Linked DNA regions of Drosophila melanogaster. The protein of the gene in region 1 interacts with the protein of each later gene in a pairwise test. Each region holds a gene or a part of one and is shown in the gene's direction. Other genes may lie near its edges.

Evidence for each region.
Region 2: the proteins of CG17287 (region 1) and CG11327 interact in a two-hybrid assay, tested with the Drosophila melanogaster proteins (one large-scale study listed by BioGRID).
Region 3: the proteins of CG17287 (region 1) and Eip78C interact in a two-hybrid assay, tested with the Drosophila melanogaster proteins (one large-scale study listed by BioGRID).

What each region holds. Positions count from the first base shown.
Region 1 is NT_033778.4:17,155,777-17,160,222, reverse strand, and holds CG17287 (uncharacterized protein), read left to right. Parts: upstream 1-1,906; 5' UTR 1,907-2,032; coding exon 2,033-3,049; 3' UTR 3,050-3,689; downstream 3,690-4,446. Other genes in the region: CG30457 (uncharacterized protein), read left to right, coding at 1-69; CG30458 (uncharacterized protein), read left to right, coding at 1,241-1,243, 1,344-1,778.
Region 2 is NT_033779.5:6,684,018-6,688,505, reverse strand, and holds CG11327 (uncharacterized protein), read left to right. Parts: upstream 1-1,793; 5' UTR 1,794-1,943; intron 1,944-2,006; 5' UTR 2,007-2,011; coding exon 2,012-3,439; 3' UTR 3,440-3,664; downstream 3,665-4,488. Other genes in the region: Tsp (thrombospondin), read left to right, coding at 1-1,252, 1,309-1,442, 1,511-1,581.
Region 3 is NT_037436.4:21,225,037-21,230,349, forward strand, and holds the start of Eip78C (Ecdysone-induced protein 78C), read left to right. Parts: upstream 1-1,882; 5' UTR 1,883-2,436; coding exon 2,437-3,355; intron 3,356-5,313. UniProt on the Drosophila melanogaster protein: Induces the early late puff 78C which triggers puparium formation and development.

The sequences.
Region 1 (4,446 bases):
ATCGAGCCCGTGTCCGCCGATGGCTACCGTTACAAGACCGTCCGCCGTGTGATCCGTCGCCGTTACTAGAGAGCTACTCCATCGATGATCTCCGCCAGGAGAAAAATTATTAAATAAAATAAAAAAAAGTTACTATCTAAACTTTCACTGTGTTTGTCTTATAATTTAACAATTTGTATAAAAACAATTCCTTATCCTTTATTTTTTCTGTATAGCAGTTTAGAATAACCTTTATAGGTACTCTAAAGATGAAGATAGAAATGTGCTCGATTACCAGACATATAATATCCAAAACTGTGATGCATATTCTAAAGAATAAAATAATAGGCGTACAATGTAAAAAAAAAGTAAATAAATATAATTAAACTAGAAATCAAAACACATATCCAACCACTTTTTTTTAGATACATTTCAATCTTTTTGGCGAGCACATCTTTTACTACTTATTTGCACCCACCGAAAACGTGTTCAACGTCTGCCAGCCAAATGATGCGACGTAGAAATACTATAAACTATTTTATTAGCCAGGTGTTCGAAAAAGTCAGAGTCAGTATCCGGACCTGAGTAATTAATTAAGCTTCGCCAGACATTTTCAAGATCAACATAATCTAAACAAATTGAAATTAATTTTGGCATAAACTTGAAACGACTCCATAGGCCCGGCCCCAGGCTAATATTTCGCCCAGCTCAAAAAGCAGAAACAAGGGAATTGAAAACGAAAAAAATAATCCAAAAGAAATAAAATAATTATTAAAACATAAACCCAAGCCAATCTTGCGTGTGGCCCACGACCATTCATCAAAATAAAAACATAATGGCTAAAAAACAAATTAAACCATTATACAGCGTGCAACAATAGGTTTGTTTGATCTAATTAAAGAAGCTTTTGCAGTATCTGAGGACTGAAGACAAAAAGTTGGCCCAAGTCAAAGCAGCGATAATGCGATTTTGGATACCAAAACCTGAAACCAAAGCCAAACGAAACGAAACGAAACCAGAAAACCCGTCAAACCGCCTTGGCATTGGAGGCTCGTTGTCGTGTGTTCGGTATCGCTTGTCTTCCGACTTTTTTGAGTGAGGTGAAGACCCCCATGTATCATGGGGGCATCATGCAATTAATTTGGCTCCGGTTGACCCGCAGCCCCAAAAAACAATGAGCTATAAAAACCGTAGTCACACTTCGAGTTCAGCAGCACAAATCAACTTGTGATCCAAGCAGCAACAAGCCCATCTCCTCAAGATGGTAAGTTCAGGGATTACACTACCTAAAGGATAATCGGCAAAATATATATGCTAAAATTTGATTGAAAAAAATATCTAAACCATATGTATTTCCATCCTAGAAATTCCTTATCATTGCCGTCGCCTTCTTGGCCTGCGCCTACGCTGATGTTTCCGAGCCGGCTGCCGGAGGATACGATTACCCCCAGCCCGCTCCACCGGCGCCTGTGAAGAGCTACATTCCCCCACCGCCACCACCACCCCCACCAGCACCCAAGAACACCTACATTCCTCCCCCGGCTGCTCCTGCCAAGGCCTACATCCCACCCCCACCACCACCACCACCACCGGCGCCAAAGAACACCTACATCCCTCCAGCACCGGCTCCAGTTGCTCCCGTGGAGACCTACATCCCTCCCGCAGCCCCAGCCCCCGCCTACATCCCACCCGCTCCTGTCCAGGCCGAGGAGCCCATCATCGAGGAGATCGAGCAGCCAGCCCAGGACGGCTACCGCTACAAGACCGTCCGTCGCCGCGTCTTCCGTCACCGCAACTAAGTCTGTGTCCCCCAATTGTTGACTAATGTGATAGGCCCCAGGCAATGTTCACCTTGCCCAGGTATCAGTTAATGTTTTCTTTAAAGATGGATGTGAAGAGTAAATAAATAATCAAAAAGCACAACAGTCTCTATTACGTATAAATCAAAAGACAGTAGGCTGACAAAAAGGGCTCAAAAATACAAGTTATGCAACATGTTCCCGCAAAGAAATCAAAACACGACTCTCACCGGACGTGGAGGATCCCTTCCAGAATGTGCCCGATTGGGGAAGGCCATAGAAGAGTGCCCTGTTGCGCGGTCAGATGGCTTCCTGCTCTAATAATTCTGGGCTTTTTGGTATGGTCCTACCACGTATTTGTTTACCAAATCTGCATAAAGAAAGTTTCGGACTACTTGACCATTGGACTGTTGCTCTTTTTCTACCATCTACTGTTGTTCATGTTTCTATGGACATGGTTTCGGTGCATTTTCGTAGCTCCAGTTAGGATTCCCGATCAATGGAAAATATCACCCGAGGATGTCGACAAATTGAAGCGAAACGATGGAATAGAGGGAGCATCTCGAGTCTTAAATTATGCAGCTAGAAATTTACCCATTGCCACGTGCACCATCGATGGACTAGTGAGATATTGCAAGACTTGCTGGATTATTAAGCCGGATAGAGCTCATCACTGTCGAACCTGCCACATGTGCGTCCTGAAAATGGACCACCACTGTCCTTGGATAGTGAACTGCGTGCACTTTCACAACTTCAAGTACTTCATACTCTTCCTGTTTTACGCTGAAGTATATTGCTTTTATCTGTTCTGCGTAATGGTCTATGATTTGTACCTGATTTGTGGCTTTGAAGTTACTGCCCTGAAAAATCAGCATTCCTGGAACATTCTTCAGTACTTGGTATGCATACTCTTTAACATATTCACCGTGATTATGTACACTGTCAGCTTGTTAAACGTATCTCGAAATCGCACCACTATGGAGTCGGCTTATGCCACATACTTTCTTCTTGGCGGCAAGAACAATAATGGTTTCAATTTGGGATATTTTGTTAATTTTCGTGACCTTTATGGCGATAAGTGGTACCTCTGGCCCTTTCCGATCTTCTCTAGTCGTGGTGACGGATTTTCATTCCCCTTGGCCCACGATCGACTAAAGGAAGTCCGTACCGGTAACCAGAAAAAAGATAATCAACCCACCAGAACTCAGATGTACAAGGAAAACATGAATCGAATTCTCGGAATTCATCAGCCACCTTTCAATGAAGAATAGGTTCGCTTAAAATAAAAGAGCAATGTTAAATTTTTATTACGATGCACTGTTATTGAAATTTATGTGTCTTAAATTTTCTCATTTTCCATTTCAAATCAAGGAAAGCGAAACAAAAAAATTTCGAGGAGACAGCTCCCGTAGACAATTCGAAAAGGGGGAACTCCATCAACGTCTTAATTTACGAGTCATTGGCAAGTGCATCAGGATCTGACTCCATCCGCTTGGCAATTGCAATCCGCTGGCCTTTTCTTCGACCCGCTGAGTGGCCAACATCGATAAATCCTCGACATTCCGGTTCTCTAGTCCGCTCCTGCCCACAAACGCATTGGAGTCGTTTATAAAGCGCTTAACATTCGTGACATATTTCGCATTTGGCCGGGTGTCGGTCGCAGAAATTTATAGACTTTATCCATTAGGAAAACAATTACGAGTGCAAACAATGGCCATTGACCAATGTGCGATGTCCAGCGGATGGACTCCCCGGCCAGAGGCGATTCCTTGGGCACTGAGCATATGTTGGGATTGTCGCGCCCCCAAGTTCAATGTCCTCGTCTATATTTTCTTATTATGCTGCGGCGACTTCTTGACTGCTGCAACACAAATCCAATTACCTTCAAAATAATAAACTTATGTACATACCAAAAAGGAAAAGAATGCCATCCAGGGTCCTACCATTTCTCCGGCTGACTCTACGCACATTTTGCTTTATCAACTGTTGATAGACTCCGTGGGGAATTTTCCGTATGTCACGACAAAGAAGACGATGGAAATGGAAATGGGAGCTGTCTGCCGTCGGGCGGCATTTTTTCTTCATGCTCCTGTAGTCTGTTCCCGTTCTCGCATGCACTGGGAAAAGCCGGAAAGAAGTTTAATATGATAGGTACGTTTTTTCGTAGCAGAACAATCTTCTCCCACTTCTGTCATTTCATAATGGATTTATCATCAATTAGCATTATTTCCTACTTCTATTGCAATATTTTATTATATTTAACTAGAATTTTTCCCAGTGCCTAGACCATAGCTTGCTGATTTCCACAGCTTGTTTGCTGCTCATTATTCGACGTTGGCTGGTTCGGAGACGTGGCTGTAGTTGGTCGCCAAATGCACGAGCGCAAATAATTTTTGCCACTTGCATGTCATCAGCATAAAGTGAGTGCAAAATATGTGAACTTCGCAGCGGAAATTCGCCTTAGAGCGCAGAGTCAACAGCAATTGGCCCAAATGACTTGTAAGCGCCGTCAGACGGAGGAGACGAGGTATCCTGCCCAGCCACATGTCCTTGTCGCCATCGCCCTTTCTGTCCAGCCAGCCAAGCTAACCAAGCAACCGCTCGCAGCTTATTGAATTCGCATATTTTCCCATTTTGCATTATGGGCAAACATTTTTTCCATTTCGGC
Region 2 (4,488 bases), on another chromosome or scaffold:
GTTGTCCAGAGCTGCGCTGTCAGCGAGACAACTGCCCGAAGTTGCCTAATTCAGGCCAGGAGGACGCCGATCTGGATGGACATGGCGATGGGTGCGACGACGATGCCGATGGCGACAATGTCCAGAACAGCCAAGACAACTGCTGGCTGGCCTACAACACCGAGCAGCTGGACTCGGATGGAGACAAGGTGGGCGATGTGTGCGACAACTGCGTGCTTAAGTACAATCCCAGGCAGTTGGACACGGACGAGGATGGACTGGGAGACGAGTGCGATGGTGATATCGACAACGACTCCATACCAAATGCGCTAGACAACTGTCCGCTGCTGCCGAATCCCAGTCAGTCGGACGTGGACAACGATGGTGTGGGCGACGCTTGCGATAACTGTCCGAATCTTCCGAATCCCGACCAAAAGGATCGCGACATGGACTTTGTAGGCGATGCCTGTCACAGAGACATCGACGGGGATGATGATGGAGTTCCAAACTCGCTGGACAACTGCCCAATGGTCAGTAACTCGGACCAGCTGGACACTGACGGTGATGGAACGGGCGATGAGTGCGATGACGACATGGACGGAGATGGGATACCCAACTACAAGGACAACTGTCCGCTGGCCAAGAACCCAAAGCAGGACGACTTCAATCGGAATGGCAAGGGTGACTCTTGCGAAGATGATGAGGACGTAGATGGTGTACCGAATGGCATGGACAACTGCCCGAACAACTCGATGATTCATCACACTGACTTTCGCACTCTTCAAACCATTCCACTGGATCCCAAAGGCCTATCGCAAGCGGATCCCAACTGGGTGGTACACGCCAATGGCACCGAGATAGTCCAGACCCTCAATTCGGATCCGGGACTAGCGGTGGGCAAGGACGCCTTCGGAGGCGTTGACTTCGACGGCACCTTTTATATCAACGATGACACGGACGATGACTACGCTGGCTTTGTGTTCAGCTACCAGAGCAGCTACAAGTACTACGTGGTGCAGTGGAAGAAGGGCACCCAAACCTACTGGGAGCCACGACCCTTCACCGCCTCTGCGGCGCCGGGCATCCAGATCAAGCTGGTCAACAGCACCGAGGGTCCGGGCCCAATGATGAGGAACAGCCTGTGGCACGAGGGAAACACCGACGGTGAGGCCAGGCTGCTGTGGAAGGATCCGAAGAACATTGCGTGGAAGGAAAGGACCTCCTACCGCTGGTCCCTGGTGCATCGACCGGCCATCGGCCTCATCCGCCTGCAGTGAGTGATGGCACCATGACAGGGTTCCCATGTCTTCATTCTCCTTCTACCCACAGAATGCACGAGGGTAACCGCCTGATCTTCGACTCGGGCAATGTGTTTGACTCCACGCTGAAGGGCGGTCGGCTGGGCGTGTTCTGCTTCTCACAGAGGATGATTATATGGTCCAACCTGCAGTACAAGTGCAATAGTAAGGGAAATCGAAACAAAGTGGTAACTTCAACTGAACTAAACTTTTTTCTATGCTTTTCAAAACAGATCGTGTGAAGCCGCTGATCTACAATGATCTGTCCGACTATCTCAAGACGAAGGTGGAGTTGCAGGACTGAGGGGAATCGCAATCCTCAGAGCCATTAACGTCTTTTCTGCCATCAATTCTAACCAAATTATGTATTAATGCTACCACTAAGTTAATAAATGAGTTGCCAATCCAGTTGGCCATTGGAGCCGCGTTTTCCAACACAAAAATGAACTGAATCAAGTTGGCCTGGCTGCACGTGAAATCAGGAGACATTGCCTGTCAATCCATTTAGTTCAATTGCCACAGTTAGGCGAACACACTTTCGCTAGGGAACGTTTTGATCACCGAAATAAGGGAAAACCCATGTTGAAAACATTGATATAATATTTCACGGATGTCGAACTAGTTAACCAGGTTAAATTCAGTCAGTCTTGCGTAAATTTATAAAGGGTAAGTTGGAGCACAGTGCTCTACCAAATTGTGCTGACCTCATTCATTTATGCGTCCAAATAGCCACGATGGCCAGCCGCAATGTGCAAGCAACTCCATCCCAGGAAGAGCTGAAGCGGACTGAGAACAACAAGAATGTGAAAAACTCCGAAGAATGTCAATCAATGGAAAACGATGTGGACGCGGTTGTCCCATCTTCGTCGGAGAGTGAGCTGCGGCCTCGCAGTTCGGGAGTTAGGCCCACTAAAATTCCGGCTCCACTTTTCTTGGGACCCAGTGCCAGCAGCCGGATCTACAGTTCACTGATGCCCGAGAGAAAGCGACGCTCCTCCATGGAAAGTCAACAGATGGCCGACGATTCTGGCATCAATTTGGATTGCTCCACGGACGAGCAGCAGACTACGCTGTCGGCCAGACCGAGTCCAATGCTGCAGCCGATGCTCGACAGGATTCCGGACACTAGCAGCGAGTTGGAGCTCCGACTGGCAGAGGAGCAGACTCTCAAGGAACTTCAACGCGTCGTCGCCGAAATGGAGGCTGATGTGGCTTTTAATAATTTAGATATGCAAAATCTACTGCCCGATGATATTGACCAGGATACACAGGTGCAATATGACGCCACTGATGTGGATACACAGTTGCAAAATGAAGCCTCTGATGTGGAGAATGGTGCCGAGTCTTCCGGACTAGATATGGAACAGCTGACAGGAAACGATATTCAGCAGGAAACACTTCCTGAAACACAACCCGAAGAACTTATACCAGGAAATGTACAGATGGTGGAAAAAGAAATTGCACCGAAAGGGGAATTTCCAGAAATAAAGGAAACTGCCGTGGAAATAGAATCTTTAAAGGAATTCGAAATTGTCCAGCATTTGGGCGAAGAGCCAATAGATGAACACACAGAGATCGTCCAAGAGACCCCGCAAGATCCTACAGACGTAGAATCCGAGAAATCTGTACCCGAATCGGATATGGAGGAACTCGAAACGTTAATTAATGAAAGTAGCGAGTCCGAAGAGGACAGGCTTGTTCGTGAACAATTCGAGAAATACCCTGAAACATTGGAGCCCATGTTTCATCCAACGGCGGATGAGATTGTGTGCATTGACTCGGTCCCGGAACTGGCCGACCATCCCTCACTAGATGGGTCGGTGCAAAACGGTCGCGAGATGGTTACTTTGGATGAACTATTTGATCCGGAGTACAATGTGCACCTAATGCGCCAACTTTTGCAGGCCAGAATAGAAGAGAATAGCGAAGTTGAAACAGCTCCAGACTTGATAGAAAGTGAGCAAGCGGAAGAAAGGGAGACGCTGACGGGCCCGGAGGCGGAAATCGATATGGAGGAGGAAACGGATCCGGACCTAAAACAAACTGGCAAGCCCTTGAGTTTCTTGAGGCGTCTAGTCAACCACAGAATCCTTAAGCTTAGCTATCCCATATTGTTCTGCAGCTTGGCTTTCAGTTTGGTCTATATAATTCGCAAGGAGTAGAAGTTCACTATTCTAGAAATGCAAATTGGATAATGCGAACTTGCGAGAGCATACGTTTCACTACGGTATATCTTAGGAAACACTTCAAAATCGCCCGACGCATTGGCATAGTTGGGTTGCTTTAAATATCTATTTTCCAAATAAATATCCACAATATCACGGCCGCACTGTTTGTAATTTGTATAATTTGTATGTATATTTGAATTAAAGCGCCAATTACTTAACATTCTTTTTGAAACGAGCGCTAGGTGGCGCCTTTGTCAGGTCATACTCTTGTTGGCTAGGGCAGGGTAACGGTTATCGATAACCGGAAACTGCACCTGCCCGTTTACTGTTTTCCCGGAATAATTACCGATGGAGGAACGGCGGAATTCTAAACATGGGGAATTTTTTATTTATTTTTTTTTTTTTGAATGTATAGAGGAATCGTGAAAAATAGCAATGATACGAACTTACAGATCTAACTATGTCGGTGGGACACGGAGAGACTGGTCGGCGGGACTAGTACTAGACGACGGGAAAGAAAATTAATAAATGAAAAGGCTAATTTGACGCAATTCCCGGAATAATAGTTTTTACTTGGAAAATAGTTTGGGATTATTGCAAGTTTTAGTTTTACATAACTATTATATTGAATACAAATATCTTTACTGAACCGCTCCTGTTCAAAGGCAATATTTTTTCGCGTGCTAGCGTGCGGTCACACTGCAGTCGCATACGGTTGTTTCCATATGAACGAACAAACTGTTTTTTTAGCGGAGTGCGCTGCTGTGAAATTTTGAAAGCTCTTTTTGGACCCTTTAATTTTATGTAACGGCTGTGCGGCACATTCAATATCCAAGCGAAAGGAGGTCCACACACTCCCCTGGCGCCGCCTGAGCGTGGTCGTCCTGCTCCGCGCTTCTAGCACCATCACCTCCACCACCACCCCCCCAACCCGTGAAACATAACGCGAAAATCGATTTCGGCTGCAGGCGCAGGAAGAAACTGAAGAAAGTATGTCCCACGGCGATGTGGACCCCGAGGTAGAGATGACATCGCCCCACCGT
Region 3 (5,313 bases), on another chromosome or scaffold:
ATATCGGTGTGTCTGCGGAGATCAGGTTTTATCGCCCGACGCAATCGGACATATAGTGTGCTATAGCATGCCACAGCCTGGGTGGATCGTCGGATCGGTGGGGGCGGCGGAGTTATCGCTTCGATTGGTCGTCGTACCTCGGCTGCTCGCTGGCTTTTCGCTTTCGCGGAGGATCGTGGATATGTGGCTCCACCGATCGCCCAGTTGCCGTTTTCCTGTTATTTACAGTTTCTGGTTGCTTTCGCTGCTGCCCGTTGGAAAAATGGCAAGCTAGCATGCAGTTGACGTCGCCGCCGCCGCTGATCATTGACTTTCGTTCGTTCCCTTTTGCGCCAGGCGTTCGTCACGAAAATTGCGGAAAACGTTAGGGAAAAAGGAAAAAATACTATTCGAAAAAGAGATTTCTGTACCTAGTTAATTAATTCCTTGTACCCTTGCAATTTGCACAATCATATTATTTTTTATCATTGTCCTTGAATGTAAATTCATTTTTCGGGAAAATTTGGCATTGTTTGCTTTTTATTTTCAAGTCAAAACATTAAACCTTTTTGACTCAGAAGCAAATTCCTAAATACTTCATTTGATCTTCAAAAATAATTTTCAGGAAAGTATTTTCATGCCAAAAACTGCAGTTTTCCACTTTCTTCTCGGTGAAAAACAGCCCACAAACGCAAAAGCAACATGCAACATTTAAACTTCCGCATTGCAGAATTTGCTCTCCCACTCTGCCGTTCGGCCTTTCTCTTTCCTGCCTGCTCAGCTGAAGGTTCTTTGACTTGACCCCCCTTGAAGGCGCCCACACTTCTGCCCTCTCTCTTTCTCGCGCACACACACATGCCCATTGCCCTCTCCCTCGAGGATAGTGCAAACTAAGTAACGGTCCGAGTCTCTCTCTATTGCTCTCGCTCGCTGCATTGGTGTGTGTGAAATTGATCTTGAGTGGATGTGTGGTTGCACTTGGAAATGTTGGAAGTCGATGCCGACGTTGGCAGCAACGCCGGCAGCGGCAATAGAAATTGAAAATAGCAACCAGGAAAAGAGTTTGCAAATGAAAAAGTGCAGCAACAAAATACAGCTGCAACAGCGAGAGTGGCAATGCATGTTTCTGTTGTGCTGTTGCTGTTGCAACAGTTGCTGCTGCTGTTGCCGATTCTATTGCTGCAGCAGTTTCTAATGTGGCTGCAGCTTTCCAAGTTGTTGCTGTTGCAGCTTGTGTGGCTGCTGTTATTGCTGCTGCTCTTGCTGTCGCTGGCGCTGGTGGAGATTAGAAAGATAGAGCCTCCAGTACTCGCATCACATTGACTCTCTCCAACCGATCTGCTCCCTTCATCTCCTCCAGCGGCTCCACCTCATGCTCCGGCGGCGGCGGCGCTTCGCAGTTTTCCCACTCCATTGGGCCACACAGACGCAATGCATTCTATTTTCCTGCTCTTTCCACACACAGACCAGCGCACAGTTACTCACACTGGCGCAGAGGGACACGTTCTTGTTCTTCTGCGCCGCTGCTCCGTCGTCGTCTTGGACTTTTGTGTGTTGTCGTAGGTTCTACAGTTTAGCTTGGATTTTCCCTGGCGCATTTGGAGCGCTGCGAAGTTGGCGCTTGGATCTCGACGAAGCGAGAGTTTTGTACGCGCGATCACCATTTCTCCCAAAAAATAATAAAATCGACGCGCGAGTGTGCCGCCACAAAACGAACCTATATCGAAACGAGCGCCCGATTTTGGAACTAGCCTGAACTTGGAAACGAAGGACTTCGAAAACAACACGGAAGTGAATTGAAAAATTATGCAATACAAGCTATTACGAAGGCTAAGTGCAAGTGACAAACTTAAGCGAGGGGATTAGTAATGAGAAATGCGAAATGATCGTGATAATTGAATTCAAGCATTAACGAAAGAACTGCGCACAAAGTAGGGAGGCAATAATTACATATGTACATGGCTGGGAAAGGCCTTAACTAAACTTAGCAAACTAATAAATAGAAAAAAGGAAATATTGGCCAAATATTATAGTATTGGGAATATTAGGTTACTTGATATCAAAAATTAATGTCTATTTTATACACTTATTCTTAGACTTAATGTTAACTTATCGTACTTATTATGATTGGTTTTTCAAGATTACCAGAACTTGATAGATTGGTCTAGCTTTTGAAATCGGATAGCATTTTCTTTAAAGGACTTTGCCATATGCTAAAGCCTAACTTCTTTTTTCAATTCAGCCACAGCTGACAAAAGCGAAGAAAATTTGAAAGACCGTGAATCCTTTTGAAACGCCCTCTCCGGATTCCTCATTAAGTGCAAAAGATATAACATCGCAGAGATTTCCCATAAAAATGCTGATCAGGCGCCCTCGCAGGTTGCCAACGTCGATTTCCGCCAGCAGGACGATGATGAAGATGATGGATGCCCATCTCACCGATTCGATCCGAGCAACATGGATGTATACCAAATAGAGCTGGAGGAACAGGCACAAATCCGCTCCAAACTGCTGGTCGAAACCTGTGTGAAGCACTCGTCTTCGGAGCAGCAGCAGCTCCAAGTTAAGCAGGAGGACCTCATCAAGGATTTCACTCGGGACGAGGAGGAACAGCCAAGCGAAGAGGAGGCGGAGGAAGAGGACAACGAAGAGGACGAGGAAGAAGAAGGCGAAGAAGAAGAGGAGGACGAGGACGAGGAAGCCCTGCTGCCGGTAGTCAATTTTAATGCAAATTCAGACTTTAATTTGCATTTCTTTGACACACCGGAGGACTCGTCCACCCAAGGGGCCTACAGTGAGGCCAATAGCTTGGAATCCGAGCAGGAAGAGGAGAAGCAAACACAGCAGCATCAGCAGCAGAAGCAGCATCACCGGGATTTGGAGGATTGCCTAAGTGCCATTGAAGCTGATCCATTGCAGTTGTTGCATTGCGACGACTTCTATAGAACATCAGCCCTAGCAGAGAGTGTTGCAGCCAGTCTAAGCCCACAGCAGCAGCAGCAACGGCAGCACACCCACCAGCAACAACAGCAACAGCAGCAGCAGCAGCAACACCCTGGACAGCAGCAACATCAGCTCAACTGCACGCTGAGCAATGGTGGAGGTGCTTTGTACACCATCAGCAGTGTGCATCAGTTCGGTCCGGCCAGCAACCACAACACCAGCAGCAGCTCCCCCTCCTCCAGCGCCGCCCACTCTTCGCCGGACAGCGGCTGCTCGTCGGCCTCCTCCTCCGGATCTTCGCGATCCTGCGGATCCTCCTCTGCATCCTCCTCCTCGTCAGCGGTCAGCAGCACCATCAGCAGCGGCCGCAGCAGCAACAACAGCGTCGTCAACCCCGCAGCAACATCTTCATCTGTTGCGCATCTGAACAAAGGTACGTGCAATTTGCAACTGACACTGCGACTCTTCCGCGTTGTCGTCTCCTCTCCTCTGCTGCGGACCATTGTTGTCGGTCTTTGAAATTGTGTTCAATAAATTTGCATTCATTGCATAATAGCTGCAACAGCAATTGAAAGTCGTTGGGTCTTCGGTTTCTTCTCCTTTTGAGGAAACTATTAAAGCGCAGCATGGAAAATGTGAAAATGAATATAATTCGCTGTTATTGGCCAATGGCTGTTGCTGTTTCAGTTTTCTCTTTAGTGCGAGGAAATTGCTTTTCATGTTGCACGTCTGTCAATGTGCTTGCATTTGCCGCTGCATTTGCTTTTCCTTTTGGGTGCAGTGCAATTGAAAGCCATGGAAAAGATGTTTTAATTTTCATAAATCGCCTTGAATTGGTCTCGGCTCTCTTTTGCCTTGGATGATGGTATTTGAAGGGGCTAAGCCCATTCTACTCCTCCGGGAGTAGTTGGTGGCTCGAACGAATGGGTAGTTGGAACCGGAAATGCAACAAAACATAGGCTTAATAACTACTACGGTCAGCTGCTGCTTACACAGAGACTTTCAAAAAAAGAAACCAACATATATATTTTAAACAATTTTTTTTATAAATATCTAAATCCAATACATTTTTATTGCTGAATGATTTACCGCCACTAATAGCCAAGAAAATGATTATTTAACTTTAAATATAAATTTGTTTATTTTCAATAAATTTTATAATATTTTGAACTACAATTCGACATTATAAATACTATTCGGCTTGGCTGAACTTGCAAATTGCCTGGATTTTTTGGCGAAGATTTCATTTCGAGTCCTGGAATGGCAACATTTAATTGCGTCAATTAGTGCGAATGAAAATTAAATCTGTTAGGAAAGGCCTTGAAATCAAGCTGGGAATTAGAGGAAAAGTCAAAATCTCGACTGCTTTTTCCACGGCATTCAAATTGATATTCCTCTGCCGGGGCAAAAATTGACTGCAATCGCTCGTTGTCCACTCCACTCAATTAGTTGTCTTCAACCAGATAAATGCATGAAATGAAAATGGAAATGGGAAAAAGTCGAGGAAATATGAAGTCTTTGTCGTCTATCGTCCATGCCTCTGACTTGTCTGACAACGCGGAAATGCCAAGCAGTTTTCCACCAGCCAGTCAGCCAGCCAGCCAGCCAGCCAGTCAACCCACAACCCGCACCCCTTTTTCTTCGGCTGGATAAACAATGGCGTTTCAAATTGTCAACTTGCAAAAGCCACCAAATGATTTGCATTTGAACGCGGCGCGAAAATGAAAAGCAGCCACTTGAGTTTCCTTTGCGTTTTCTTTTCTTTTTCATTCCTGCCCGGGCCGACGACATTTTCCAGACGCCGTTGTTGTAGTTGTAATTGTTGTTGCACTCCAATTGTAAAAATTCAATTTGCAATTGCACAAGCGCGTAACGCGCCATCCACTGTAAGAAAAAACAAATGATGTAAACATGCATCACCAAAGTTGATCACCAAATAAATATTAACAAATTTAAACGGTTTCGGAAGTGATGTGTATTAGATTAATATTTGTTACAAAATTTGTAAAGGACAGTTTCTTGGACCAAGCACAAGGACATTTTATTACAAGAAATAAATTGAAGTTCTGTCTCCATATTTCCGTTCCTGTCGACAGTTTTTCGGTGCGTGTATCCACATTAATTTCATTTTGTTTCGCATTTCTGAGGTGTGGCAACGCCAATGTGCACAGCGGCAACTAGCAACACCAACACCAACAACATCGCGACAACAACAATAGAAGGCTGTTCAAACTCCGCGCTTAGTTCATTTGCCTCTTCCTTTTGCATTAGAAAAGCGAAAAATAGCAGCAAGACATGCAGTCAAATTGAATTCGAAATGAAATGCCAAGAAGCAAACATTGCTGCCTGGCTCCAGTTTTTCTTTGCTTGTTTTTCTTTTCTTCTTTTTCC